Linked DNA regions of Notamacropus eugenii. The protein of the gene in region 4 interacts with the protein of the main gene of each other region in a pairwise test. Links are inferred from orthologs where the notes say so. Each region holds a gene or a part of one and is shown on either strand. Other genes may lie near its edges.

Evidence for each region.
Region 1: the proteins of SAT1 (region 4) and HOXB9 interact in binary tests that used the Homo sapiens proteins (3 or more experiments, as listed by UniProt). The two-hybrid records come from large-scale screens. The link is inferred for Notamacropus eugenii from reciprocal best matches to the Homo sapiens genes SAT1 and HOXB9.
Region 2: the proteins of SAT1 (region 4) and CASP7 interact in binary tests that used the Homo sapiens proteins (3 or more experiments, as listed by UniProt). The two-hybrid records come from large-scale screens. The link is inferred for Notamacropus eugenii from reciprocal best matches to the Homo sapiens genes SAT1 and CASP7.
Region 3: the proteins of SAT1 (region 4) and NIF3L1 interact in binary tests that used the Homo sapiens proteins (3 or more experiments, as listed by UniProt). The two-hybrid records come from large-scale screens. The link is inferred for Notamacropus eugenii from reciprocal best matches to the Homo sapiens genes SAT1 and NIF3L1.

Annotation. Positions count from the first base shown.
Region 1 is NC_092873.1:352,395,152-352,403,118, forward strand, and holds the start of HOXB9 (homeobox protein Hox-B9), read left to right. Parts: upstream 1-4,967; 5' UTR 4,968-5,063; coding exon 5,064-5,574; intron 5,575-7,967. UniProt on the Homo sapiens protein: Sequence-specific transcription factor which is part of a developmental regulatory system that provides cells with specific positional identities on the anterior-posterior axis.
Region 2 is NC_092872.1:192,055,038-192,062,831, reverse strand, and holds the start of CASP7 (caspase-7), read right to left. Parts: upstream 3,017-7,794; 5' UTR 2,495-3,016; intron 1-2,494. UniProt on the Homo sapiens protein: Thiol protease involved in different programmed cell death processes, such as apoptosis, pyroptosis or granzyme-mediated programmed cell death, by proteolytically cleaving target proteins.
Region 3 is NC_092877.1:297,045,905-297,053,023, reverse strand, and holds the start of NIF3L1 (NIF3-like protein 1), read right to left. Parts: upstream 3,006-7,119; 5' UTR 2,871-3,005; exon of another isoform or gene 2,475-2,870; intron 1,917-2,474; exon of another isoform or gene 1,885-1,916; intron 1-1,884. Other genes in the region: PPIL3 (peptidyl-prolyl cis-trans isomerase-like 3), read left to right, coding at 5,723-5,725. UniProt on the Homo sapiens protein: May function as a transcriptional corepressor through its interaction with COPS2, negatively regulating the expression of genes involved in neuronal differentiation.
Region 4 is NC_092876.1:453,304,834-453,311,858, forward strand, and holds the start of SAT1 (diamine acetyltransferase 1), read right to left. Parts: upstream 3,020-7,025; 5' UTR 2,603-3,019; coding exon 2,537-2,602; intron 1,924-2,536; coding exon 1,872-1,923; intron 1,780-1,871; coding exon 1,696-1,779; intron 96-1,695; coding exon 1-95. UniProt on the Homo sapiens protein: Enzyme which catalyzes the acetylation of polyamines. Substrate specificity: norspermidine = spermidine >> spermine > N(1)-acetylspermine. This highly regulated enzyme allows a fine attenuation of the intracellular concentration of polyamines.

The DNA.
Region 1 (7,967 bases), on a different chromosome or scaffold from region 4:
ACGTAGTATTTTTACAGAAGAGAAATACCACAAAACCCGCAGTCTCATACACCCATTTCATTCACTTAGGAAAGAAGGTCTGTGGATCTGAATTTTATTGAGAGCCAAGATGGATATACATAGATACACAATACATTTGTACATAATACATATGTATGTGTAAATCAGTATTTGGGACTTGCAACCACGTCCAGACTATAAAGTAGTGAGACTGGTTTCTGATTTTTCTGTGTTCTGTAGGAGCCCTCTCAGTACTTTACAAATTGTAAATATAAATTAGCATCTATTTGCACATATAGAGAATACATTTTTTATTTACATGGAAGTTCAGAGGCTAGACACATTTAGCTACCCAGTCCCGAAAACTTTATTAAGCATCTACTACGTGAAGGGTATATACACTTGCACATGTAATTTTATCTATAACATATCTATACAATAGAATATTGGGGGACAAATTATATACAAACATAAAAGTTTCATTATACATACACAAGTCATTATTTATCTGTTCTATAGTTGCACTCTATTATTTGCATGTACATATTTCATAGAGGCATAGATACACAATTAAATATTAGAGAGTCAGAATCAGACCTAGAATCTATCATAAGCATACACACTTATTTATTATATACTCATGCATTATATATAATGTATGTATTTTAACACAGTGCCTTACAGAAGTAGTAGGCACTAGATAAATACTTATTGATGTGACCCACATAAAATATATGATATATTTGCATTTTTGTTAGTTTGTTGTTTCCTTCCTTGCTTCTTTTCCTTCCTTTTTTCCTTTCTTCCTTTTTCCTTTCTATCTTCCTTTATTTCCTTTCTTTCCCACCTTTTGTTCCTTCTTTCTTTATTTCCTTCCATTTTTGTCTTTTGGTCATTCTGTCTCTCACTGTCTCTCTTTCTCTCCCTGGATGTCAACAAGAGAATCTTCCCGCACTCAGCCAGAGATTGTAATATGAACTCACCCGAGGTCCCTTGCCCAGTGTCTCAGACTCCATTCTTCTCAAGAATTCCAGCCCATGGGCCCTTAAGTGGATGGAGAGAATCAAATGGGAAGATGTTCTGGTTTCCATAAGGGTCCTTCCCCTCGATTGCAAACCCAGATTCTATGCAGAAAATAGCAAGAGGTTAAGAGAGAAGACGGGTCTTCTGCCTATAAAATAAAAGATATTTGACTCTTTAGGATTTTTTTTCTTTTTGCTGTGTTGGTGAGGGGAGAGGGGAAGGAAGGGATGATCACCTTCTCAGGGCAGGATAATTCAGCACTCAAGTTGCTCTCTAGAAAGAGCCTTTCAGAGCCCAGTTCTGGGCTTCCAAAGGCTCATTTAACAGTAGCAATAATGACAATTATAACTGATCTCATTGAAATAGAAATAGGATTTCTACTCAGCATCCAGGGTCCCTCAGTCTTAGAGCCCATTCTCTTTCCCAGAAGACAAGGTAGCTAGCATAGACATTTGAAATGCAGCATTTTCTGTCTTTGAGGAGTTTTCTGGATTCATATGTCACCTTTTTTTGTCTGCACCCACTCCTCAATAAAAATGAAAGTCGTGGAGGACTTCAGGAACACAGGAATCCCCATTTGGAAAAGGAAGGTTTCCATGAGGCTCTGCCATGGATTCCTTTTCCCCTCAAAGGCTCTTCAGGGTGGATTCAGTCCCAAACCTTCAATGGGAGAAAAATTACACACACACACACACACACACACACACACACACACACACACACACACGGATTCTTTTTCCCCTCAAAGGCTCTTCAGGGTGAATTCAGTCCCAAACCTTCAATGGGAGAAAATTTCACTCACACACACACACACACACACACACACACACACACACACACCTGAAGTGAAGGCTCCACATCCCCGAAAGAAGGGGGAGAGAGGGAGAGAAGCTGCAGCCCCTCATAATCACCTTCCTCTGTTAGGGATCCCACGCAGAATTTCTCTAGAATCCCAGGGAAAGAGTCCTTCTAACCCACACTGATCACTCCAATCCAGACACCGAAGTCAAAAAGAAACCTTTATCTCTTGGGACTTTAGGGTTTGCCCCAATTTCTCTGGAAGTAAGAAGAGGATTCTAAACCTTACAGTCCTCTTTCTTCTGCTCCTGTTAAACTTTAAATGACAGCCTCCTTTTTTCGCAGTCCTTCCTATATTTCTTTCTTTCTTTCTTTCTTTTTGAATGAGCTTTGCCAATTGAAATAGGCTACCGGGTCTCTGGCGTCCTGAAGGCGGAAGAATAGAGGCTACCAGCAGGGGAAAACAGAAGGGCTAAGGAAGAAATAGCCCAGCAGACAAACTCGGCTTTGGGAGTGTGTGTACATATATGCATATACACACACACACATAGTATGTATATGTATATATAGTATGTATATATGTACCACATACATATATACACATACATATATAACGCATATGTGTGTATGTATGTATGTTGTATATTCCAGCCTCCAGCCTCCACCTCTGTTTGGGCTCTAATTTATATAGTATAGAAAATTATATACTCAGCCCTGCCACGGTTCGTAACGCTGTTATTTATGGTAGGGGAGGACTGATTTTTTTCCTCGGTAATATATTTATTACAGGTAAGCCGACAGCAGACTCCATCAGTCTCGCAAATAGAGAACAGGTGTTTAAGTTTAATATTGATTCAGGACCGCTCTTTGGTCGGTGTTCTCCCTCTCTGACTCTCTGCTCCAGCCTTACTTCATCTTTTCTTGTCTCTGCCAAGCATCCCTGAGCCAGATAGGGGCAAATCACACCGGGGTCCTTTTCCCGAAGGAGCCTAGGGAAAAATTCGGCGGACTCGCATGTTCTTAGGCCATCCGTCCATTGTGCTGTCGCCCGGGGGAGAGCTAGGTTCGAGAAGGAGGAGGAGATGGGGGTGGGGATAGTGGGGCAGTACTCGATGCCAGGATTGATCTTTAAAAAATCATTTTGGAATCGCCATCATGGAAAGAAATATGACGCTACGCCCTCGTATTTCACAAGTAATGACACGAGATGGCTTCATTTGGAAAGGAAAGGGAGGGAGGGAGGAGGGAGGGCAGAGTCGCCCCCCCCCCAGATGACCTGAAGGCAGCAAAAAATCGAGAAATCATAAGTTGGAATGACCCTATATCCTTTTGTTAAGGGGACCTTAGGTAACAGGGCTACCAGAGAGATATGGAACAGGAGGCAGCTTGCTCTAATCCCCGCGTCCTCCTCAAGACTCCTCTTGCCGCAGAGGGATTAAGCTTTTCAAGACATTTCTTACGCAGGCCACCGAGACTTTCAGCACCTCACTTTTCAAACACCCCACAACAGCAACTCTGAAAAAACAACAACAATACCCTGGCCCAAAGTAATCACATTCCAATAAAGTTTCCCCTCTACTTCTCCCTTTCCTCCACATTATACTTTTTTAGAGCAGATCCCAAACTTCTTGGGGCTCCCCAACTAAGAAGCAGACCACCGAGGGTTTTCCTGGAAGGAGGAGGAGAGGAAGCTTGGTGAGATGCGAGACGAACCAAAGTGTTGATCGGGTCTCTCAAGTGCCCGCGAAATTTATATCAATTAAACGCGCTCTTCAGAAGCGCCGGCTAGGCTGCCAGGGAGGTGGGAGGCCATTTCTTCAACCTATTCTCGGCTGCCTCAGGATTTCCTTTACTGGAGGAGATGTGGTAGCCTGCCTTAGAGAAGCCGATTCAGGGAGAAAGGAGGGGGAGAGGACCTATTCAAGAGTAAATAGCTACTATCCAACCCAAAGGTGCAACTCACATTGGGGACCCCTATCCGTTGTCCTTTCGTTCTCCAACTGGAGTGACTCTTAAAGTACTGATCAATAACTCTTCACATGAGGGGATTGGATTGGATCAACTTTGTGGGCTGGGGGCACAGAGAGGTACAAATCACAGGGAAGTTATCCCTGCATTCCCTTCCAGCACCCACCCGCCGCCTCTCTAGGGAAAAATCAGAGGTACCTCGGGTTAAGTTTTAATTAAACTCTTTGCCCGGCGTAAGTTTCCCGTTCCGTTTACTCCCTTTCGCTGTATTTTACCAATCCTTTAAACTATGGATAGGCTGTGATTTCAAGGAGGGGGGTGGGTGGGACGGGGGCTGGGTTGCTAAACTGGTCCCCCCTTCTCTTCCATTGTTCTTGTTTGTTTTGGGGGGTTTCCTCCATTATTAGGGAGACAAGGGAGGCCCAGCGCTTAGGGCTATCAATCCCGCTCGGTCCCAAATAAGCGCAGTAAAAATTTTAAAAGTCAGGCCGCTTATTTCTCCTCAAACCCCTTACTTTGGGTCTGTTTCTCTCTGTCTATCTCCTCTTTCATTAGCTCACCCAGTTTCTCACCTTAAACGAGTCGGCTTTTAAACAAGAACAAATTCATATTTGAGTAGCTTGGGAAAGGGAAAGGAGACCTTTACAGGGGTGGGAGAGTGACGGGTGGGAGTGTGAAGGAGCGGAAACTATCTATTTTTTAATTATTCCTTAGAATCTCTCAGGCTGCTCTCCAGACTGGGCCCTTTCCCTTTGCGACCCGCCAGGGGAGAGTGCTGAGCAGTCAGAGTCCCTTCGATGAAGCACACAGCTCTTTCCGTCCGCTCCCCCACCCCCGCCCATGTTGAGAGTTAACCCCCCTTCCTCCAAACGGGGGGGACCCCGGGCGGCCGGCGGCTTGGGCTGAGGTTACGTGGTCGCTGGAGCCCTGACGTGTTGCCACATTGCATAAAACAATTCATCCTTGATATGGAATGCAGCGCGGATGACAGCGGGAGCGCAGCCCCCTCGCTCGATTGATTTACGTCGAAGCTGACGCTTTATCAGGCAGTCGGAAAAACTTTGACCAATCATTTTGCAAGAAGCTCCGAGCCCGGCTGCTCAACTGTACTTTGTTGGCTGAGAAGTTGAGCAGGGGGTGGGGGTGGGAGGGTGGGGGGTTGGGGGGTCGCGTCCAAACCCTCAGACCTGTCCTGTAGCCACCTCTCCCGATATAGGGCGCCTCCGCGCTAGTGCTTCCCTTCCCTGTAAACGCTCCCTGTATAATGTCTGAGAATGTCCATTTCTGGGACGCTTAGCAGTTATTATGTTGACTCGATCATAAGTCACGAGAGTGAAGACGCGCCTCCAGCCAAGTTTCCTTCCGGCCAATACACGAGTCCTCGCCAAGCCGGCCACGCGGAGCATCTCGAATTCCCCTCCTGTAGTTTCCAGCCCAAAGCTCCGGTCTTCAGCGCCTCGTGGACGCCTCTGAGCCCTCACTCGTCGGGGAGCCTCCCTTCCGTCTACCACCCGTATATCCAACACCAGAGCGTCCCGCCTTCGGAGAGCAGGTATCTCCGCACCTGGTTGGAGCCGGTGCCCAGGAGTGAGGGGGGGCCCGGGCAGCCCCTAGTGAAAGCCGAACCTCTGCTGGGGGGCTCAGGGGAGCTCCTTAAGCAGGGCACCCCGGAGTACAATTTAGAAACTTCTTCCGGAAGGGAAGCTATCCTATCTAATCAAAGACCCGGCTACGGAGACAATAAACTTTGCGAAGGAAGCGAAGACAAAGAGAGGCCTGATCAAAGTAAGTTATAAAAAGTGAGGAAATGCCAAGGCAACTAGAGAGCTAAGGGTGGGAGGGAAGAGGTGGGGAGATGGGAGGGAGGTAATAAACCCCGGACAATGTAAAGTTACTGCGGTGTCAGGCTGAGAGTAAGAAGGAAGGAGGGCGGGATACTCGGAAGTGGGGCAGGCCAACTACCCCAGGAGGCGGGAAAAGGGGTAGATGTGGCAGTCCCCTTAAAATTCTAGAGGGAGCTTTGTCCAGGCAATAAAGACAAGCTGGACCAGTTTCCCGAGTTCTCTTTCTCTCCCGTGCTCGAAGACAGGGAGCTGCTGGATGGATTGGAGCGAAGTTGGAGGGAAGAGGGCCACTGAATTGACAAGGAGAGAGTCAGGGATCAGGGGGAGCAAAACAGGGCGTAAGCGGAACCTGGGAAACTTAGAAGAGAACCCTAGTCCCGAGCCTTAACCTGCTAAATTCCCTCTGACTGTGAAAGTGTGTGAATGGGAAGAGGTTTGGGGACAGCTAGAGTGCTCGCGCTTCTTAGATTAAATTCACTGTCGGTGAAATGAATATTTTTGAGCCACGCGCAAACAGTAAAAACAAACAAACAGCAAAGAGAGGAAGGACTGGAGGGAGGGAGGGGGCGCCTCATTAGGGTTTTATTTGAGATGCAACAGCTTGGTGAATTGTTCAAACTGGATCACGCGCCGCTTCCGTCCCCTGTTTGGGGGAGGAAGGGAGGGAAAGATGAAGGAAAGGGACAAAAACAACCACGTAGTAATAGTACTCAAGACTTCCGCCCTCGCCTCGTCCCAGCCTTTCCAGCTCCGCCTCCCCAGCTCCCCCTCCGGGTCGGGAGTTTAATGTGGGCACGGGCTCGGCAAGCATGGAAGGACCAGAAGTTAGAAAGGAAGCCTTGCGCCTTCTCAGTATTTTTTTCCTTGGTCTCTCTGAGCTCTAGGCAGTCCCACTTCGTCTGTGCTTTCTTCTCAGCTGAGGATGATTCATCTTAGCCAACCCCAAACTTCTCCCTCAGGGGTGCCCCCGCCCAGTAGCCTCTGTGGACTGTATCTTTACTTCTTAGTTGGAACGCTTTGACACCTCAGAGATCTGCTCTGAACTTCCCTGGACATTTTTCCTGGTACATAGGTCGAACTCCCAAAGTTTTATTGGAGAGCTGATGGAGTTGACTGGATGTAACGGGGCTAAAGAGGAGCTTAACTTTTCTGGATGGAACTTGTTCTGCACAGCTCTCCCTTCCCCTCCTCCCTCAAACCTTTCAAGAACGCCCCTTTCCAGATTCTCCAGTCTTTCAGAAGTAGCAAGTTCCCTGGTATTGTCTGTCCCCGTTTTTTGAGATAGAGTAGGAGAAGTAAAGTAGGGGGTACTTGGGCAAAAAACCATGCCTCTAAACAATAAACAAAGCCGAGACGAGACGTGACAAGGTTCTCTCTCTCTCTCTCTCTCTCTCTCTCTCTCTCTCTCTCTCTCTCTCTCTCTCTCTCTCTCTCTCTCCTCCTCCTCCTCCTCCTCCTCTCTCCCTCTCCCTCTCCGTCTCCCTCTCCCTCTCTCCCTCTCCGCTTCCATTGGGGCCGAATTTACAGTCCTGGATCCCCTCTGTCTGATTCCCCATGGTTTTTCTACCCTGAGTAGAGTAGTCTGGAGAGGGCTGGCAATAAGGGTGGGGGCGCAGGAGGTAGCTCATCAGGGTTGGAGCTGGGGTCAGCTGTTCGGGAAAAGACGACTCCCCTCTCTACTCTCTACTGAACAAATGTGCCCCTCGAACTGGGCCGACCAAAAGGGAAAGAGTTTGTATTTTAGGAGGACACCCCAAAGCCTCACACTCGGCCTTGAAATCCCTTTAAAGCGAGGGAGCAACTTCACCAGCATCAATTATTAACAGCTTTCTTCCTCTTTAATATTTAATGTTGCTCCATGTCCCAACCCAGTCAATCACATTAAGGAAATAGCGCAGCAAATTGGTGAGACACGGTACTTATAGCGTCAGATTAACCGGATTATTTTAAAATATTCAGGGCATTCCATTTTGGGAGAGGAAATCAACCCAGGATGGCTGTTGTTCGCCATTGGTTCAGCATTTATTTCAAGAATTTGAAAAGAATCATAGGGAGAAGGACTCAGAAAAGAGCGTTGTCTCTTAGTTTTTATTTGTTTCTTCTCCCCCCCCCCCTTCTGCCCCCTTTCCCCACCTTTGCTCACTGCATGGGTATTGGGCAAAGTAGATGTGTATGTGTGTGTGTGGGGGGGGGGGGAGACTTGAGATCAGGACTCTTGCTCCCCGCCCCACCTCCCTCAATTTCCCTGCATATTATCTCTGAACCTTGACTTAACCAAACTCCAAGGCCTAGAGAGGCCAAGGTGAGAATATTGCAATCATAAGTTATTTCAGA
Region 2 (7,794 bases), on a different chromosome or scaffold from region 4:
AAAATACTTTGTATATATGAATTAGCAATTAATTTTAGGGAATAACTGGTGTTTAATCAATAAGTTAAAAGGGGATTTTGGAGACAAGACCTGGGATTAAGTCATGGCTCTATGAATTACTGGCTGGGTGACTCTGGGCATGTGCCTTCACTTCCAAGTCTCAGTTTCCCCTTCTGTAGAATAAAGATACTTGCCCTAATTACTTCACACAGTTGTCATGAGGAAAGTACTAGAATGATGATTTTGCTATATAAAGATAAGTTATTACTGTTTAGATTAGACAAGCTACAATACTTCTAAGCTTTATGATTTCATCTGTGTGGGACTCCACCTATACATATTTCAGTCTCATCTTATTTCCAACTCCACCTGGCTTCGCACCTTGCAACAGCCAAAAAGATATCCTGGGAAAGGAGAACCTTCTTACATAAGCTTTCCTGAATATGGTGCCTATGAACAGAAACAAAGCTATCACTAGAACCCATGCCTAAAGCCTGCCTACCGTGAAAGAATATACCATACCACTCCAGTATCTTTGCCAAGAAAACCCCCATGGACAGTATTAAAATGCTAAAAGATACAATAGCAGGATGGAGTCACAAAGAGTCGGATACCACTGAACAACAAATATATGTGCATATACACCTACATATATACTGTATTTACTTATACATGCAGAGGAAACATGGTACAGTGGAGTAGGCCTCACAAATAGGAAGACCTACATTTTAAGTCCTGCTCTTGATCCACACAGGCTGTGTGACCACAGGGAAAGGATTTAACTTCTCATGCCCTGAGCTAATTTCTAAGACTGTAAATTTCAGAGAAGATGCCAGCCTGCATTGGTAGAGACTCCTTAGAGGGGAATTCTCTGTACAGTAATATCACTGGTCTAGTACCCTACATTCCAGTTGTCCAACCCCCTTGTCCATACCAGTCAGGTAAGTTTCTTGAAGGGTAGCGGTAGGGGGCTATTTTTTTTTTTTTGGTAGTCTCTGTATCCACAGCACATACCTCTGTGCTTGGCCTAATACAAAGCAGATGCTTAACAAATGTTCCTTTGTTGATTGTTTAAGGTCAAAGTACTATAGATTTAGTTATAAGGGATCTCAGAGGTCATGGAGTCCAACCTCCTCATTTTACAGATGGAGAACTGAGGCCCAAGGAGTGGGCCCAGTGACTTGGCCAAAGTCACACTTGAATTACATGATAGACTGTTGTAAGTTGTTTTTCAGTCGCATCTGATTCTTTGTGACCCCATTTGGGATTTTCTTGGGACAGATACTGCAGTGACTTGCCATTTCCTTCTCCAGCTCATTTTACAGATGAGGAAACTGAGGCAAATAGGGTCAAGTGACTTGCCCAGGGTCATACTGCTAGTAAGTGTCTCAGGCCAAATTTGAACTCAAGTCTTCTAAACTCCAGGCTCAGCACTCTATCTAGCTGCCCCTCCCTGGGTAGAGCCAGGATTCCCACCCAGGTCCTTCAACTCCAAATCCAAAATTCTTTCCATGTCTAAAATTCAGCTCTAATAATCCTATGGTCCTCTGAGTCTCAGTTTTCTTATCTGTCATACAGTGAAACTAAATCATTTGTAAAGGCTGAGTGTAAGGAGCTCTATTACATATTGTTTGGGTGAATTTAGGAGAGTCAATTCCATGATGGGCCTGAATTTCTTCATTTGTAAAAAATAAGCAGGCTGGTCTCCCCAGATGCCCAAGCTACTTCCCAGTTCTGAATCTTTATCCTATGATCTCTCATGTTCTTTCTGTTTCAAGTTTCTAAGATCTCTTCCTGTCCTGACTAGGTAAGTCGACTATCAGTTAGAATTCTGCTCTGACACTATCTGCATGGCCAATCACTGTAATCTTTGTTACAGTTCATGTTCCTCTTCTGTAAAGTGGGGATAATAATGGCACCTACCACCCAGGACTGTGGTGAGGCTCAAATGAAAGGTTTGTAAAACATTCTGCAAACCTTCAAAGAGCTCTGTGAATATCTACTATCTATTATTATATGTAAAAGGATAAGAATATCACCCATCTCCCAGGGTTATAGTGAGGCTCTAATTAACATATGTAAAGCGCTTTGCAAGCCTTAAAATACGGCCATAAAGGCTAGCTATGATTATATATACTATGAAACTTAGCAAAAGTGTATCAAGATGTATCTCCGTGAAAGAAAGCCTTCCCTGGTAGGGATACAGTGTCAATTTCATCCCAGCCCATACCCTCCAGGAGGTTACAAAAATGCCACCGTCACCAACAGGGACTAACTCCATCAGACAGCCAAAGGCCAGGCAGTCCCAGGAAAGCCGCGGAAGGCTATCGTGGAGAAAAGGGGGGGTGCTACGTTAGAAGCGGGGCTGGGGACAGAGGCCCGGTGGCCCCAGGATTGGGAGGTCAGCGAGGCAGGGCAGGCTGCCAGGCGGGAAGCCCATACAGTAGAGAAAAGAGACAGTGTGGGGGGAGGGAGGGAGGGCTGCTGGGGTTACCGTGAGCACCGGGGATCCTGGAGCGGGTGGAGGGAGACGCTGCAAACACACGGCTCTGCGGCGCCAGCCGGGCCGGGCTACACGCTGCGGGCTGGGCTACACACTGCGGGCTACGCTGCGGGCCGGGCTACACGCTGCGGGCCGGGCTACACACTCACTGGGGGCTGGGTTACACTGCGCTCAGGGCGCCGAGACGAGAAAGAGCAGAGGGGCGGAGCCTAGGCCGGCCTGGAGGCGGACCCGGCTCCCCCGGGGCCCAAAGGGACCTTGGAAGGGCGGAGCGAGCACTGCCCCGGAGACCGCCCACATCCCGTGGGCGGGGAGGGACCGGCCCGGCCCGCTACCGAGATGTTCCGGGTTCTGGGCCCCGGCCGCCTGGAGATGTCTTTGCGTTGGACTTAGCCAGGTTTTCTTCCCTGCCTCGTTCAATTCCTGGAAGAGGCGAGGCTCCCCGGCTCGCTCCTGGATTTCCCACGTTAGGAGTCCAAAGTCTGGTGCTCCTTGACTTTGAAAGACTGTTAAGAACTGGATCCCCAGTCCTCCTGGCTGCGGCTTTTAGTTCCTAATCCAGCTTCTATTTCCCGCCCCCCATCCCCCAAGCCAGCAACTCCATCCAGTACCTGTTTATTTTTTAAAATTATTTGATTTGTTTTCAGTTTTCTCCAATCATCTCTTAGTTTTATCTTAGTTTATATCTTAGTTTTTCCCTCTCCCTTCCCCTCCTTCCCCCTCCCTCTCTACTTCCTCGCAAAGACAAGAGGGCGTGCAGTCTTATATAGGTTCTAGACATAGATTTTTATTAAATGCATTTTTACCTTAGTCATGTTGCACAGAAGAACGAAAATGAATGGGAGACACCATAAAAAACACAACACAAGAGAAAATGGTCCACTTCGTTTTGGGATCCAATTCCATAGTTCTTTCTCTGAATGTGGAAGGCATTTTGCTTCAAGGGTCCCTTGGGAATTTTTTAGGTCCTTGCTTTGCTGTGAAGGACTAAGTCTATCAGAAAAATTCCTCACACACTGTGGTTGTTGCTGCGTACAAAGTTCTCCTGGTTCTGCTCCTTTCATTCAGCATCAGTTCACATAAGTCCTTCCAGGCCTCTCTGAAGTCTTCCTACTCCTCATTTCTTATAGCACAATAGTATTCCATTATATTCATATACCACAACTTGTTCAGCCATTCTCCAGTTGATGGGCATCTCCTTGATTTCCAGTTTTCCAGTACCTGTTTAAAAATGAAGGAGACCCCTACTTAGCCCTCCAGGGGCGTGGAACCTTAGAAAAACTTAGAATAAGTTTTAGAATATGAGAAAGTGCAAAAAATCGAGGACTTTAAATTCAGGAAAAGAAAGCTCTAATTAACTGGAGGGATCCTGGAAAGATTGGAGGAAGACCTCTCTAAAGACAGTTTGTCAACAAGCATCTCTTAAGAGCTCACTATATACCTGGTACTGTATTAAGTGCAGGGAGCTGGAGGAAGACAAAACTCTGTCCCAAGAAACTTAGATTCTAATGGGGAAGAAACAGTGGGGAAAAAAAAGATAGGGGACATAAACAGATCAAAGGGATTTGTATCTTGGAGAAAATCAAGCTTAATCTCCTCATTTTAAAGACAAACTGGCCCAGACAGGATGGGACTCATTCAGAGTGGTGCTGGCAGTACCCCTTCTCTCTTGATGAATTCTGTGCTTTTTGTACCTGAATTGACAGCAGAGATGAGAGTGAGGAAGGCCATTGCCTTCATGAAAGACCATGTGATCACTAGCATAGAGGGTGGAAAGGCAGGTGAGATAGAGTGGTGAAAGATGCAATTTGGCTTAACTGGAGTATAAGAAGTTGAGATACAAAGTTGCAAAAGTAACTTGGAGGAAGATTGTGGAAGACCTTAAAAACCAGGCTAAAAAGGCATTGCTCGTCCTTTCTTTGTCCTCTCTGCCTGGTCAAAATAGTCGGTCTAATACAAGCATTTACTTTGAGATGTAATTGATGGATAACAGAACTCCTAGGAGTATTTACATTTTTATTGGGGGGAGGGGTGCTCCTCATCCAGAGACCCCTTATTCCCCATAATATGACAGCTCTTCTCCTTGTCCCATAAGGTTCGTATACACTCCCTTTTCTATCAGCAACTGGTGCTCAGACCTTTCTACCCTAATCTGACAGCATTCTAGGCAATGGGCTATTTTTCAACCATTGCCATATTCCACATGTCTTCCCACCTTTACTCCTACAAAAGGGCCTGGAGAAAAAAGTCAAGAAGATTGGGGGTCACCTCTGCCAATTCTTGGGGTTGGATACATGAAATCTCATATTTGCTTGTTAAATATTCATTCAACATCCATTTATTTTGCATCTGTTGTGTATAATGCACATATGTAGCACAAGGCCACAGACTCCATCTTGATTTAATTAAGAGTTGATGGATTCTGATATGCAGTGTCCCAAAGTCTTAGGTCAGTTTTACATGGTGTTGTGGAAAGAGTGCTAAACTTAAGAGTCTGGATCTGCACTCTAAATCTGTCTCTACTACTTACTAAAACTATGTGACTGTGGGTAAGTTATTGGCTCTCTCTGGGTCTCCGTGTCCTGAGCTGTACATTTTGGGGCTGGGATGGTTGAAAATTATGGCTCCTCAGGTTCTAGATTGTCCTAAAGGCCTACTCCTTCAGGAGCATGCTAAGAGACAGCTCAAATTGACTCCCACTGATTGTCAAATCCAAACGCACTTTTCAATCCTCATTCTCTTTGGCATCTTTGCAGCCCTTGACACTTTTGATGACTCCTCCTTGATAGTCTTTTCTTTCTAGGTGTTTGGGACTCTCTCCTGGTTTTCCTTCCATCTATTTGATCATTCCTTCTCTGTCTCTTTTGCTGGATCCTCCTCCAGAGCATGCCCTCTAACTGTAGTTATCCCTCTGCATTCCATCCTGAGTTCTTTTCTCCCTCTAAACTAGTTATCATCTCCCATAGATTTAATTACCATCTCTTTGCTGCTGATTTGAAGGTCTGCCTATCCTGCCCAAAATTCTCTGCTGACTTCCTGTCTTGAATCTCCAACTGCTTTCCTGACATCTCCAATTCGATGTCCAGTTGGCATCTTAAATTCAACGTGTCCAAAACAGAATTTATTATCTTTCCTTTTAAACCCTCCCTTCCTTCCTTATTACTGTAGAGGGTAACATCATCCTCCCAATTCTGCAGGCTCACAATTATCCTGAACTTCTCACTATCTCTCACCCCTACATCTAATCTGTTGCTAGGGCCTACTGATTTCACCTTTGTAACATCTCCTGAACACGTTTTTAAAAAATCAGGTTGAATAATATAAAGGTACAACAGAATGAAGCTATACCATGATCCCAACTTCCTGAATCTACTTCCCCAAGCTAATAGTTGTCAGTTAAAAAATTTCACCAGTCTCTTTCCATTCTCATTCCAACCACCACTTTTATCCATGTACACATTACTCCTCTCACAGACTTCCCTTCCAAACAGCTCTCAGTGACACAACAAAACATATTGGCTGGAAGCTGGGGTGACCTTGGACTTGGACTTGTCACTTCAACTTTATAGTCTCCTCATCTGTAAAATGAGAGAGTTGAACTGAAAGGTCTCTACCATCTCTGAGCTTTCCAGATCTAAAATTCCATGATGTATGATCTAGAAAGAATTAGAGTGAAAAGACCTCTGAATTGAAAAAAACCTATCAAGAAATCTCTAACTATTAAACATTTGCTCAGGACTCTCTGTGCAACTCCATCCTTCCCAACAGATCCTTGAAAAAGCTAACAGATTGAGGGATAGGGTCCTTCCAATAAGAAGGCTAAGAGCCCATCAGATACAACTCCAGCCATCCACGGACAGTCATTTTGTATGCGACTGGTCTCTGCTTTACTATGTACACTCCTACCTGGAACACTGTATCAACACCCTCTTCTGATACTAATAGAAGGATGAGAAGAATCCCTACTGAACTTCTTAAGTTCTAGAAGTTAAAGGTCACTTTTAGTAGTTGGTGTGGTGGGAAATATATTGAGTATTAGTAGAGTAAGTCATGTTCATAGTTGACTGAATGGCAGGATCCAAAGAGTGTTTATCAATGGTTCCATACCAGTCAGCAAAAATTGTTCTCATTGCCATGCTACTTGTCTCTAATGCTTGTTTCTGTTTTATTTGATATTTTTTGTTAAAGATTTGGATGAAGATCTAGAAGGTATGCTTGTCAAATGCATAGTCAATGAAAACCTGAGATGGACTGATAAATGACAGAATTAAGATTAAAATTGATTTTGATAGGCTTAAAAGAGAGACCCAAATTAATGAAGATAAAGTTTATAAGTTCAAAGTTTAGATTCAAAACATCAATACAAATGCAAGATGGAGAAAATCTGGCAATGATATAGGTATTTTGGTTGAATGGAAGTTTAGTATGAACTAACAGTGTGATGTGGTTACTAAAAAAAAGCCCAAAATATCCTAATTAAATCTTAGAATTCATTAATTAACATTATTTTTTTAAAGGTAATATTTCCACTCTTTTCTGTTTTGGTTAGACTGCATCTATAGTGTTGTTTTTAGTTCAGGGTACTCCAGTTTAAAGGGGGCATTGACAAAGAGCGTATATAAACAAAGGTGACTAAAATAAAAAAGAATCTATAAATCTTAGTATATAAAAATGTTTGAATAAATTGAGAAGCTTACCTTGAAAAGAGAAGTCTTGGTGGTGATGGTGGTGCAGGGGAACCAAGTATGTGAAATGTAAATTGTGGCTACACATTGATTAGAGAGATGCAAATCAAAACAACTCTGAGGTACCACATCACACCTATCAGACTGGCTAACATGACCAAACAGGAAGCTGATAAATGTTGAATAAGATGTGGGAGAGTTGGAACACTTATTCATTGTTGGTGGAGCTGTGAACTGATCCAACCATTCTGGAGAGTAATTTGGAATTATGCCCAATGGGCTACAAAAATGTGCATATCCTGTGACCCAGCAATATCTCTTCTAGGACTGTATCCCAAAGAGATCATAAAAATGGGAAAGGGTACCACATGTACAAAAAAATTTATAGCAGCTCTCTTTGTGGTGACCAAGAACTGGAAATTGAGGGGATACCCTTCAACTGAGGAATGGCTGAACAAGTTGTGGTATACGAATATAATGGAATACTATTGTGCTATAAGAAATGATGAACAGGAAGACTTCAGAGAGGCTTGGAAGGACTTATATGAACTGATGCTGACCAAAGGAGCAGAACAAGGAGAACTTTGTGCACAGCAACAACTACAG
Region 3 (7,119 bases), on a different chromosome or scaffold from region 4:
TCTAGTCTCCCCAAATGCTAAAACATTCCCTTCTAAGGTCACCTATCTATTCTTTAAGTATCTTGAAAATAGCCTTTTTTTCTTTTAACATGTCTCCTTTAGAACATAAGTTTGTTAAAGGCAGGGGGACTATTTTGGATTTTCTTTGTATTCCCAGTATATCACAGCACAGTATTGACACATCATAAAGACTTAATAAATGCTTGTTTTAGACATGTTTCATCTGAGCTGGCATCTATGGTACATCTAGTTCCAAGTGCTGAAGCTCAGGAGAGAGACTCATGGCTGTGTATGTACATCTTAGAGTCACTGGCACAGAGGGTAATTAAACTTTTGGTTGCTGATGGAGATCAGTTGAAAACCTAAGAGTCATCCTAGACTCCTCACTATCTTTCCTCGCTGCCACCTCTGCCACCACCTCCCCCCCTTACAAACACATCAATTCTCTTGCTAAGGGTCATCTATTTCACCTTTGCAACATCTGTTGAATACAACCCCCTTCTCTCCTCTGACATTACTAATAATTTGGTACATTTTTATTGCCCCAGATGTGGACTACTGCATGATGGTGGGTCTGCCAGCTTCAAGTTTCTCCTCATTCCAGTCTATCCTCTTCAGCCATTAAAGTGATTTTCCTAAAGTGCAGGTCTGACCACTCTAATGGCTTCCTATTGCCTACAGGACCAAATACAGAATGTTCTGTTTGGCATTCAAATTCCTCCATAATCTGGTCCCCTCCTACCTTTCCAGTCTTCTTACACCTTACTCCCTAACATATGCTTTTCCATCCAGTGACACTGGCCTACTGACTGTTGCATGAATAAGACCCTTCATCTGGAAACTTCCTGTAAAGTTTCTCTGGTTGTCCCCCATGCATGGAATGCTTTCCCTCCTCCACTCTTAACTACTGATTTCCAGGGCTTCCTTTAAATCCCAACTAAAATCCCACCATCTATAGGAAACCTCGAACTCATCTTAATTCTAATGCCTTCCCTCTGTTAATCACTTCCTATTTATTCCATCTACAGCTAGCTTTGTATTTGTTTGCATGCTTTTCCCTCTTTAGACTGTGAGGTCCTTGAGGACAGGGACTGTATTTTGCTTCTTTTTGTATCCTCAGTGTTTAGTACAATGCCTGGCACGAAGTAAGTACTTAATAAGTGTTTACTGATTGATTGAGATACAATGTATCTGTACTTGAAAAGGGTTCAGGACAGAGCCCATCTTAGCAAGATCAATGTCATGAAAATACAAATGAATGAATATATAGGAGAAAAACATGATCAACAGGGAGAGAATGCCGCAGAGGGTGGAAGGATGAGGACTGAGAAAGGCATAAGGTTTTAGTATTATGAGATGATTGTTAACTAGCTTCAGCTGAATATTGAAGTTAGAAGCCAGACTGAAAAGAGTTGAAAAAAAAGAGGAAACGTAAATAGTAGTTGGAGACAACATTCAAGCACTCTAGTTAGAGAGGCAGTTAATTTAATTTAATTCATTCATTCAGGAAGTATTTATTAAATTTTTATTATGAATAAGGGACAATGCTAATTGAGGAAGGAGAGCAGTGATAGGACAAGATATAAAAATGAGTAAGATATTGATGATCACAATTATTACAATATTATGATCACATTATTACAATAATTACAATAATCTAATGTGCACTGGAGAAGGAGGGAATAAGACATTTAGATGTTCAAATATAAGACAAAGTAGAATGTGAAAGCAGTGAAATATAAAAAGCATCGAGTGGAAGAATATAGAAAGCATCAAAAAGTGTCTTTCAGGAAGTTACTTTTCTCCTGAGAGAAAAGCTTAGCGATATGTCCCTGAACACAATAAAAGAACTGCATATTGGTGAAATACCCTCTGATAAATTACCTTGTTTCCTCAGTTGTAATTAATTAATTTCATATCCAATTCCTGACAAGAGGGTAAAGATTCTAAGAATCAGCCATAAAGAACCTTTCCCCTCTTGAGCTATTTGTTAAGTGCTTGATTTCCAGGGACTAAAAACCCCCCCAGCTATTCCTTTTTCTCCTTTAGGAACATGATCTCAAGAGTATGGGTAAACTGATGTTGGGAACTCCCTCCACTGCTGCTGATCTGCAACTTTTTTATAGTATATATATATAGTCTTGTGTGGCCTGGGACGCCGAGATAAAGCGGCTGTTAAATTCAATCATCGTAGCAGTAAGCGCCTAACTTTATGCGAGGCACACGAGCTCAAGCCAGCATGCACTCACTTCACAAATCTTACTCGTTTTATCCACACAACAACCCTGGGATGAGGACGTGATCTGAACTCAGTTCTGCCTCATAAAACAAGTTAGGTGTTAAAGGCAAGGCTTGAACTCGGATCATCCCAAAGCCCACATAAAACCAATAGGGGAAAAAGAACCAAACCGGCATCACTGCGCAACGTCAACAACTTATATTGAATATATACATCTACGCATATCTTAACAAACCAAAAGGCACTTTCGAACCCTCTGAAGCGGTCTCTTCGTCAGGGGCGGCAGCGGCGGCCGCGGTCCCCTGGGCAGTCGTCCCAGCCTTTTGCCTTCCCGGCGTCCTTTCTTAATCAGGTCCGGGCCGAGAAGCCCCTGCCCCTCCCCCCGTAACCTAGGGCAGCTCCTGGCCTCAGTTTAGCCTTTTCTACGAAGAGAAGCTTCGCCTCGAAGGTCTCCTGAAAGTTTTGCAGTTTAGCCTCAGGAGACTAGGAATGGAAGCCTAGGCTGCACCCAAACTCCTACAGGACCCGTCGCCAAGGCCGCAGACAGAACGCGACAGGACAGGAACACCAGACCTGAGCCTCGCTCTCACTACGCCCGCCCACCTGGGAGTCGCTTCCGCTTCCTACTCACGGGCTTCCGCTGCCTTGGGGTCAGAGCGGAAGTGGCCCGTTTCCTTTTGTGCGTCGGCCTTACTCTCTTCCGGTCCGCTCGTTTGGGGTCTAGAATCGCCGTTCGTGTTTGGAAGTGCTGCAGCCGTGAGGTGAACCTAGGGAGGAAGGCTGCGGGTTAGGGACGGAGCGGGGAGAAGAGAGCGGGAGGCCGAGAGGCCTGCGCAGAGGCACAGCGAGGGGAGGAGGAACTTCGTTTTCGTGCCCCTTCCTTCCGCTCGAGACTTGGCCTCTAGTTCCCGCGTTTTAAGCGCGAAGTCTTAGCGTTTGTTCCGTAGCCTGAGGAGGCCGGAGGGAGGTTCCGAGAGCCCGGCTTTCCTGAGTGGGGATGGGTGGGCCACCTCGGGGAGGAGGGCCCTAGGAGAGCGACGACTCCTCCTGCGGTTGGAAGCACTTACTAGTAAGTAGTAACTACCACTACTGTAGCGGAGCACTTGATGGTGGCGCCGTAGTCTCAGCGTCCTGTCACTCTGATTCTCCCGCCTCCATGCCCGTATCGCGGCCGTCAGCACTGCCCGCCTTTCGGCTGGCATTTGAGGACCGAGATGAGTCCTGAGGGCGTGGGCCGGGGCAGCGAGGATTTAGCCAGGCCGCTGTCCCAAGCTTACTCCGTCCTGGGCGCCGGAAGGAGTAGAAACGCATCCCTTTCCTGCCTGTGTTTTACACCGACCTCCGCTGGTGGAACCCTGACCCCCTGGAGTACCAGATATCCCGGAATCATCAAACAAGTAAACAGTGGCTTATCCCAAAAGGACAGTTTGGGAGTGGAAAGGGAAAGAACCGGCGGGGGCGTTCCTTCATTGTAAACAATCACGTGTTTAGGAGTGAGCTGTAGTGGGGATCCAGTCTGGATGAAGGGCTGGTTTTTCTCTACTCCTTTAAAGTCAAACTCGTATTTAGAGAGGTTTTGGTGTATCTGAGGAGCAGTGGTTCTCCCATGTTTTGGTCTCTGGACCCCAAACTGCCTTTAGGTGGGTTATAGCTATTGCTGATATACAGCATTAGAAATTAAAACTGAGAAAATGTTTAAAATATTTCTTGTTTTTAAAGTAATAGTAAAATTATTAGATGTGAATATAATTAACCTTAAAAAATAACTTTTCCAGAACAAGAAAGTATTAGTGAGAAGCATGACCATGTTTTACATTTTTGCATATCCCTTTAGTTTCTGGCTTAATGGAAGGCAGCTGGATCCTTCTGTCTGTTTCTGCATTCAATTTTTTGTAATATGTCTTTTTCAGTTGAAGTATGTGAAGAAAACCCAGTCTCATGCAAATATGTAGTTGGAAAAGGGAGTTTTTTTAAATGGCCTTTCCAGATGTCTTTGATGCTGTACCAAAAGTGGTCACGTGGTAGTTTCTTAAAGGTTAGTGGCAATGAGGAATCTAAAACCACATATGTGACCTTTTGGAACAGTGCTCCGTTAAAATCCATTGGTTGAATCTTATACTTTAAATGGATCTTTTACCCAAGATTTTGTAACACATAAATTGGTCATTTGGAAAGTATTGGTTCAGTAAGGTATGCAGATCTTCTCCATGCTGACCTAGTTCATCATACTATGTAACAAGCTTAAATCATTAATGTCACTGGAGTTAAGAATTGGAAATTTGTCAAGCTCACGGTGGCAGGTGTAAGTACAAATTTCCAGACAAGATATTAACAGTTTTTGCATTTGCAGCTAAACTTTAATTGACAGGTCATGTGGCCTTTGGAAAATACCACTGTATTCTCATGAGTGAATGAGAGGGAAAAAGGCAAATAACATCTTTGTGTTACTATGAAAATAGTTTGATACTGCAAAATCTTTTGAAATGTCATAAGGAACCCCAGGGTCCACAGGACCACATTTGAAATCCTCTGGTATAGTGTATTGAAAGTCAGCCTCTGAAAGACCTGGGTTCAAATCCTGCTGCTGCCATATTGGCTGTGTAACCTTGGGCAAGTCATTTAGCTCCTTGGTGTACCTGGAAACTCTCATACATGGTTTTCTTGGTTTCCTTAAAAATTCAACAGTACCTCCTGCCTGAGGCCTTTCCTGATCCCCATATGTATATATGTTTATACCAGACATCAGATAACTTGGTGGTTAGAGATTTCGCTTCCCTGTGCTGGAAACAGAGAAAGTGCTAACCTGTGTGAATAGAGCTTTTCCTCACCCAGCAATTCCCTAGAGCAGTGAAATAACCGGGCAAGTCCCTTTCCCTGTTCCTACACTTATATGTGCATATGCTATCTTACCCAATAGAATATAAACTTAAGGGCAAGAATTATATCCCCTGAACCTAGCACAGTGCCTAACACATAGTAGGTGCTTAATAAATGCTTTGTGATTAATAAATTGGAGAACAATTATGGATAGAATAGAGGGAATTTCCTCACTTGGAAGCTACTTACACCAAGAGATCACAGACCTGGAACAAAAGAAAATTGATAGGAAAGGAAAGGAAAAGAGATAAAGCAAAATTATTTCCTTTAAAGGGAATCTTTATTAACAGTGGCTTTCTTTGGGGACACATGCACATGTATATGCATAAACACAAACACAACTGGCTCACATAATAAAGCAAATAAAGGAAAGGTGTAGTGGCATTGGCTTTGGAGGATAGCTTTCAAAGCAAGCTCCCTTTCTTGCCTGTGGTCTTTTGTTTGCATCTGCTGCTCTCTCCCTCTAACCATGACCCACTAGAATTGTTGTAAATGTACTGTTTAGATTAAATAGATATATTTGAATAAAATAAGGAATGAAAAGTTTGTAAACTCTTTCCCCTTTTCAGCTTTCTTTCGGACTGCCTGAAATCCTCAAGTAGCAGGATGGTGAGTTTCATAGATTCCTTAAGAAAGTTTTTCTTTCTTTATAACTTTTAACTTAAAAAGTTCAGACGCATTAAAATATTTCTTCTAAAACTAGAACCTTGAAACTAGTAGAATTATAGTCGTTTTAGAGCCTAAGGAGCCTAAATGGAACCTCAGAGGTTATTTAATTCAGCTGGCTTAATCTTACTGGTCTTAGTTTATTTAAACTCTATTTTGTTTTTTTGATAACTGCCTTTGGTATATAATTGAATTGGGCTTTGGAGAAAGACTTCATGCTTTTTAACAGAGCTAGGATAGAAACAGACAAAATGGGCATCTGACTAGGCTTGACACACGAGGAATACTTTTTAATGTTGTTTGCTGTAAATGTGCATATTTTTATTAGAAAATTCCATTCTCCGAGGCATGTAGGCATTTTGTGCAAAGTTAAATTCTGTGTGTTATTTTTAACCTTCTAGCACAGAGTGGTCACAGTTTTTGATCCTCTGGTTATTTCAGAGCATGAGAGTTCCCTTCTATTTTCCCCTATTCTTTAAGCAACATTCATTTTGGCCATTTTTAGGATTTGGCTGTTCTCTTATTTAGGACTTACTTGAATGATTGTGGAAGCTTTGTTTAGCTAGGGGCCCTTTTTGTCATTTCTAGCTCAAAACTTAACACTTTCATCCTTTTGATTTGATTTTGTGACTCTACAGAACTTTAACATGGTCACTGGTCCACTCTTGTGGATAGAGTTTTGAATATCCAGATATTTTCAGCCTACCATGTTCAATGGAATGGCATAATGGTTTATGTATTGCTGATTGTTTTTATAGGGATAAAACTGGCAACTCTAGTTATATATTTTCATGAAAAGTAGATCATTAAAGAGAAGAAAAATGAAAGAATGTGAATGGGGCAAGAATAGAGTGCTTTTAGGCAGTAGCAGTATTTAAACTTTCTATAACTATTTCAATTTTTCCTTAATTTTTTTCCTTTCCAGAATTAAAAAGCTACAAAATATTTATTTATATTTGTAGCAGGTTGGGATAGAAAGAGGGAATTGGAGGGGAAGAAAATATAATAGTAAGTTATAACAATTTTAATTGTGGAGTTTTTGTTTTGGCTCAGATAATTCCAAAGTGGGCCCTGAAGGGGGCGGAAGAATGGTACCTGTATACATGGGGCCCTTCTTCCTCCTGTCTGCTCCTTCAGGCTTTGGGGAAAAGAGGATCAAAAAACATCATGGGGGAGAAGGGAAAGTAGGAAGGTGACTGTGTATTCCCCAAGTAAAACAAATTGGTCAGGAAACATTTATTAAGCACCTATTGTATGTCAGGCACTTTGTTAAGTGAAAAGCTAAAAACAGTCCTGCTCTGAAGAAGCTCATAGTCTGATGGGGAAAGAGATATACA
Region 4 (7,025 bases):
CTCACTCATCACAAAGAAGTCTTCAAGATATAACAGTTTCCCAATCCATGGGTCATATGTAAAGTAATACATAGCGAAGCCAACAATGCTGTATCCTGGAACAGAGGATCACAGAATTTTAGTAAAAAAGAACAGGAGAAAAAGTCCATAGCACTTGTAGCCACACACTCAGAATGTTTACAGGTTTTAGAATTTTACATGCATGGATCTGAAAACTAAGCTGCTATCACAGTCAGTCTCTGCATGCAGCTATCATTATGCTAGAACAGTACGATCCATTGTTAGGCTACCCTGCTGTTCTGAGTTTGCAAGAAGCGCACATTAGAGCTGGAGGCAGGAGAAGAATTCTGACATCTCTGAATAACCGCTTTGTCTATGTGTGACCCACTCTGCAATCTCCTGGACCCCTCACAGAAACTCCAACAGTTTTAATGGCTCGAGAGCTGAGCTGCTATGACCTTTATGTAAATACAGACATTATTCCCAACCTACTGCGTTACTGGTATGTCCACTTGTGAATATAAATCGAGTTTACACGGCAGTTCAGAATATTATTAAGTACAAGGAGTTCATGAACTCTACTTCCTTGAGGTTAGAACACCATGCCAGTAGCTTCAGCTAATTCCAGAAGCTTTTTTTTTTTTTTTCCAATTTACTCTCCCCAGTTTTTCAGGGCACAAGAGGCAGATAAACAGTGCTAAGTGACCTCCTTGTACCTTGGATCAGCAAGCACTTCACACTTAATCCTCTGCCAGGTGGGTGAAAGTGCTGCCTATTTCTTCCCTTTACTTTAAGGAACAGATTTCTGGGGGAAAAAAAAACCCAACACAGAACCCCCACCAATAAAAAAAAAAAAAAACCAAACCTCCTAACCTGAAACAGCCTCCACCCCCGCCTTCCTTAGAGAGTTTCCCTTTTTATCTGAGTTTCCCATCCAGTAAACAATGAGCCAGCAACTTCAAACAGCTGACTTAACTTTTGGAATTTGCCAATAGTCCCAAAAGGCGTACTAGTCAGTGGTCAAATTAAACGTTTTAGCCACTTCACCCTGGTTTGTAAACACAGCCAGGAAGAGATCCTAATGGAATTTCTGATCTACCGTGTGTTTGGTTTGGTTTGGTTTGGTTTTTACACTGTGTGGGAAGAGGACTTGTCCCTCTAGGCCTTACCTCATTTATCATGATCATCTACTTTATTGAGTAACGGATCTTTTAGTTACCTCCCCGCCCATCCATGTACACAGAAGGGCCATGTACATGGCGAAGCTAGAGACTGTAACCTGAAGATTGGGACAAATTAAAGAAAAAATGTGATTCAACACGATTACAGAAAAAGGTTATGTTAGGGTCAAACAAGAACTATTTTATGAAACTGAATTACATCAAATGACATCATACCCAGTTTTCCGGGGAATACGTAGGGCATTTTGCTGACAAACACCTCTTTTAACTCACCCTATTTTTAGAATGGCACTACATCCACTTTTTTTGGTTTTCTAGTTTCAACATCGGATTGCTTTATTTCTGGCCACCTTTCCCAAAAGCACACTCTCAACCTTCTGCATTAGCCAACCGTTCTAAGCAAAAACTAGACATTATATCAACATCCTGTCTCTTTCTGATTCCCTACTGGGGTGGGGGTGGGGAGAAAGAAGGGCAAGAGAAAGAACAGGACAGGTGGGGCAAAGTTAGTTACCTTGGGGTGTCCAATGCTCTTTGGGCACTTCTGCCACTAGACACTGGTAGAAAGGGTGCTCTCCAAACCCATCTTCAAGCAGATCTATAAGAAAGGCCAACAGGGACAGAAAATGGCTAATGGCTATGGTGCCGGTCACCAAGGCTATTAGACAAACCTCCTTTCAAATGAGTTACCTTTTTCAGTTAGCACTACTTGTTCTTCCATTTCTTCGTATTTTGCTAGTTCCTGGTAAGAGCAGATAAAAAGGGAAAGAAGAGAGACAAAACAACACATAAGAACCCGGAGTCCTTTTATCTCCAAGAGGCAGGGTTATTGTCTCAGCACCTGCAGCGCCAGGCTCAGGGCCAAGAGCTCTGCTCAGGGAGCGGGAGAAGTCTGGGCCAAGTTCCTGGTCCACTCTAAACACGCGCAACGGACCTGAAACTAAGTGAGGGGGGAAAATGCGAACTCCCAGATTTCCGCCAGAAGGGGCAGGCAGAAAATCCAGCCGCCTGCTGGTTACCGGCGTGGGCGGAGCCGTGCACCGGCCGCACAGACCATCACCCGGGCGGTGAGCGGACAGGGCGCAGGTTCTGCTAAGTTTGTCCCTGTCCTTGTCACTCCCTTGGTCTGGATTTCCGACCCCGGACCTTAGCACGGTCCCTGCCACGCAGAATCTCTCTCTTTCTTTCCTTCTTCTCCGTCTCTCTCTTTTCCTACGGGACTCTGGCCAGCTCAGAAAGTTTCCCTGCAGGGATGAGGGGAGCCCCGGGTGTCTAGGGTCCTCTAGGTCCTCTCCCACCCTAACCCCCAAGAAGACGGCCCCAGGCGGGCTCCGCGGGCGCGGCGGCCGGGCTACCTTGATCAGCCGGAGGATGTCACTGCAGTCGGCGGCCGTGGCGGGGCGGATCACGAAATCAGCCATTTTCGTCTCTTGCTTTTCTTCCCTTTGCGGACCAAGCCCCTGTACTTGAACAGCAGGAGGAGGTGGTTCCTCATTCGTCTCCCGGGAGCTTCCTCTTCCTAGTCAGGCTGGCAGCATGACCCGGGGCCGGCGGCGGCGAACGACCAGGGGGCTCTTCCCTAGGTCCGCGGAGATCGGAGCAGGTGTGGCCCCGCCGGCCCTCGCAGCCTCTGTTTATGGGGGAGCCGGCCCCGCCTCCGAGCTCCCCTCGGCCAATGGAACGAAGCCCGGCCCCGGCGAGGGCGGGTCCGCTCGCTCCCGGTCCGGCCCGGCCGGCCCAGCTCCTCCCGCACCGCCCTTCCCGGAGCAGGTGGAGCCCTCTTTCCCGGCCGGGAGGCCCGACCCGCCCTGAGCCTTCGCGGGAGGCGATGCGGAGGCGCCGCCTGCTGTTCTTCGACGCTTAGCTATGGCTTGGATTCGAGCAGAATTTTTTTAAAAAATTAAACTTTCTTTTTATGAGGAACCCAGATTTCATTTCTTCCATCTCCCTGATCCATTGAGGAAAAACAAACCAAACCTTGTTTTCTTTTATTTGGGGCATTAACTTTTTTTTTAAATTTGAATTTCGAATTATGTTCCTCGATTCCCCCTCCTCCACCCATTGGGAAGGCAAGACATGCGATGTCGGTTAGACGTGTAAAATCACGCAAAGCTTACTTTCCACAGTAGCCATGTCGTGAAAAACCGAGAAAAACAGTGAACAAATATGCGTCCGTCTGCCCCCAGCCCTCATCGGCTCTCTCTGGACCCGGGAGTATTTCTCCCCATAAATCCTAAAACACCTTGTACCCAACATGCGTATTCAAGAAAAACAAAATTCCAGCCCTGGCTGAAAATGGTCTCGTTGTGCCCCTTGAATGTGTTCCCTCCGAGCTGGGGGACGGAGACCTTGTTTCAGCATCAGTTCTCTGGCGTCTGGTCCATCTTTGTGCTGATGAGAGTTCTTAAGGCTTTCCAAGTTGTTTGTCTCTATAACGTTGTTACTTCTGGTTCTGCTTTCTGCGTTCTATATCCTCTTCCCCTCATGGACCGCTAGAGTGAAACTTCTCTCTCGTTAGGGTGGACAGGGAGGAAGGGGAGAGAAGACAGGAAAAAGGAGACAGGCTGCTTTTGAACTGTAGGTATTTGTTTCAAAGTATAGATAGGACAGTACAATTAGAGAGAGAAGGAACGAATTACCTCCTTTTATTTGTTAGAAACACCCCTGACTCTAATAAAGTATCAAGGAAAATGTATTGCAGCAGAGTTTGGAGGAATTGAACACTTTGGCTGCCATCCTCTTTTCAGGAGGAGGAGGGAGCGTTGGATACAGCACCAGGATGAGCTGTATGCCGCTACTCGAAGACAGATCCTCCCACCAGGAGATGGATTGGTCCATCCTCCATTAGGTCACCCTCTCTCTACATTCCCATTGTGTAACGCCCCTTGGTATGATCCTCCCTCCCAAACATGCTCTAACATAGGATCCATGATCAGAAAATGGAGGGATAATTTTATGTGGGATGTCTGCTTATATGCATGAGGTTCATTAAGCAAGCGCAGTGAAGACAAGCCTTCTCTAGGCAACTCTAGGTCATTTTTCTTGTCTAGTTTCAGATAGCTGTAGATTTGGTTCCTTTATCAAAAATTTTGTCATTTTGTCTGTCTGTCTTTTGACTGGTTGAATCCACCTGCAATCTGTTGGCCTTCTTATTTTCTAACTTATTCTCAATGACTTCGTCAATTAACAATAACTCACTGTGGAAACAACTTTTACTGTCTCTCACATATTACTCTCTTACACTGTGGTATTTTGATGTCCTCTAAACTTAAGCCAGAGGGACCTACATACAACTGACACATTTGGGGCTCTAAGATTTTCTGGGACCAGTGAAAAGTAAAAGACAGTCCCAAACAGTACACTACTATAAAGAAATGTTCTTCCCCTACCTTTCTCATAGGATCATAGATCTAGAATAGCAAGAGATGAACTCAGAGCTCATTTGGTTCAATCCCTTTCCATAACAGTCATCTCATGAGAGTTTATTTCCAAAACATCACCATTTCTTGGAGAAGAAGGATGCTATAGATGAAGATTAAAGTGTAAACAATAAAAAACCGACCTGGACATCTGGAGAGTTCCTTAGACAGTGTAGGTCTAGGATGAATGTGAGATCTGTTAAGCAGTCTCACTAAATAAATGCCTTTACCTTCAGGAGAATATTGTTGAGAGGATTTATGTTTTCTGTACTTGTGTAGGCTTATGAATCTTTAGTGTTTTAAGTATTTTCTCTGGTGGAGACAATAAACCATTGTCTTTTAATTGATATTTGTACAGGGAGTAACTTTTTTGAAATGGACACTTCTACCACCTTGGGGAGACCCTATACATGAACTTTGGTTTTAGAGATTTCACTGAAGTTAATCCACATCAAAGATGAGAAAGAGAACAGAAGCCTGACCTCCCTTTCTTTTTTTAGTGTATAGGATCCCTCCCAGCATGAACCTGGTTTGTAGAAATCCAAGGCTGATGCCTTTTGTGGAAGGGGACCACCTGGGTCACTAGTCATAACAAAAAGTGGTCCTTTGCAAAACTGCACATTTCAAGAACCTTACCTAAGTCCATAGTTGGGTCTGGGTATCCAGGAACTAAATGAGCATTTGTCATCAAGGCAAATGAAAATAGGTCCATCACTGAGGTACTCTCCTGAGTACTTCCTGTGTCAATTATGTAAAGGACAATTTAGGGAGGAAAACGATCATCTGAGAAAACAATTGACCCTCCCCATCAAGATCCAACTTCAGTTTGAGAACAGCGGGAATATGAGTTTTAAGGTATATTTTAAATACTGTAGATTAGAACTGCTCAGTGAAGAAGTCAATTGCTAGCTGTCAGGACCTGCACGCCAAAACCACTCCTCTCTTTTCGCTCCTCTGTCAGGACACAGTTTTCCAGACGAAGGCCCAGCAAGCAAGCTGTGCCCTGAGCTTGGCATAGTAACAGTTCTTTGCACTTGCCCTCTGGGAGAATTGGGCTGCAGCTAAACCACAGAACTGTCTCAAACCAGCCCCAGGTGGTCCCTGAGATTGGGCAAGCACCTGCAGGAATTACATTCAGGTCATGAAGCTGCGATGAATGGACTTTTTGTTGGAGGCCAAATTGCCACATTGTTGCTGTTCTACCTCATTGTAGTGGTTACACCTCACTGCTTCCTTCTTTGTCATGCCACCTCTGTATACATCAAGGATTAGCCTCCCTGTCTTGGGCTACCTTGGTCTTAGATCAGGCCCCAGCATGCATGTCTAGTTTCCCTCCTGTGATGGAATACAGAAGGCTTTTTATCTATAACCTCTGTGAGTTCTTTGGTGTTTTGTTTAATTTTTCAGTTGACAGTTGGAGTAAAGCTTTTTTGCTGAAACCTCTGTGGGCTGTTTGAGCATTTATTTTTCAGAGCTGACAAGTTACATGCCTAGCAAAGGGATTTCTGGGTCAAAGATATGAACGTTTCAGTCATTTTCTTAGCCTGATTGTCCGTTGCTTTCCAAAATGGTTGGACAAGGACGGAGTCAAGATGGTGCAGTGAGAATCAGCATTATTGCCTAGTTATCTCAATACATCTTTTCCACAACAACCTAGAAAATGTACTAAACTGAATTCTGATCAAGAAAGTCAAGCAAAGTTACAGTGAATCGCTCCCTCCCCACCCCCTACCCCCCCAGCCAGCTTAGGAAGACAAAAAGGGGGTTCTGCTGACTCTAGGGTGAGGGTTGTCCAGAAGACTGGCATCAGCACCAGAATAAGAGGCAATCATAGTGACAGAAAGAGATCTGGGGGACCCCAGAACTAGTGCTGGGGGCAGGAAAGGCTGCCCATCTGGCAGCATTGTCACCCATTACCCAGTCCCAGGTCACAGATTCAAGGGGAAGAAGAGCAGCCTTTACTAAGCACAGGATACTAGCTGAGTGTTGTTCAGTTGTGTCCAACTGTTCTTGACCTCACTAAGGATTTTCTTGGCAAAGATACTGGAGTGGTTTGTCTTTTCCTTCTCCAACTCATTTTACAGATAAGGAAACCGAGGCACACTGAGTTAAGTGACTTGCCCAGGATCACGCAGCTAGTATCTGAAGTCAGATTTGAACTAAGGAAGATGACTCCAGGCCAAGCACTCTATCCAGTACCCCACCTACCTGCCCACTACTCTGACAGCTTGAGAACTAATGTAATCTCTCAAGAATGTTGTTATTCCTAGGAGCTGAGTTAACACTTACTCCACCTCCTCATAGAACCCTCTATCCTTCAGGATCATTTTACCTTTGTCTTGTGACCCAAATCACAGTCTTGTTTGTGGTTGGGGGCGGGGTGGGGGGGGGGGGTGCGGGTTGAGAAGGGGAGGTCTAAGCAATC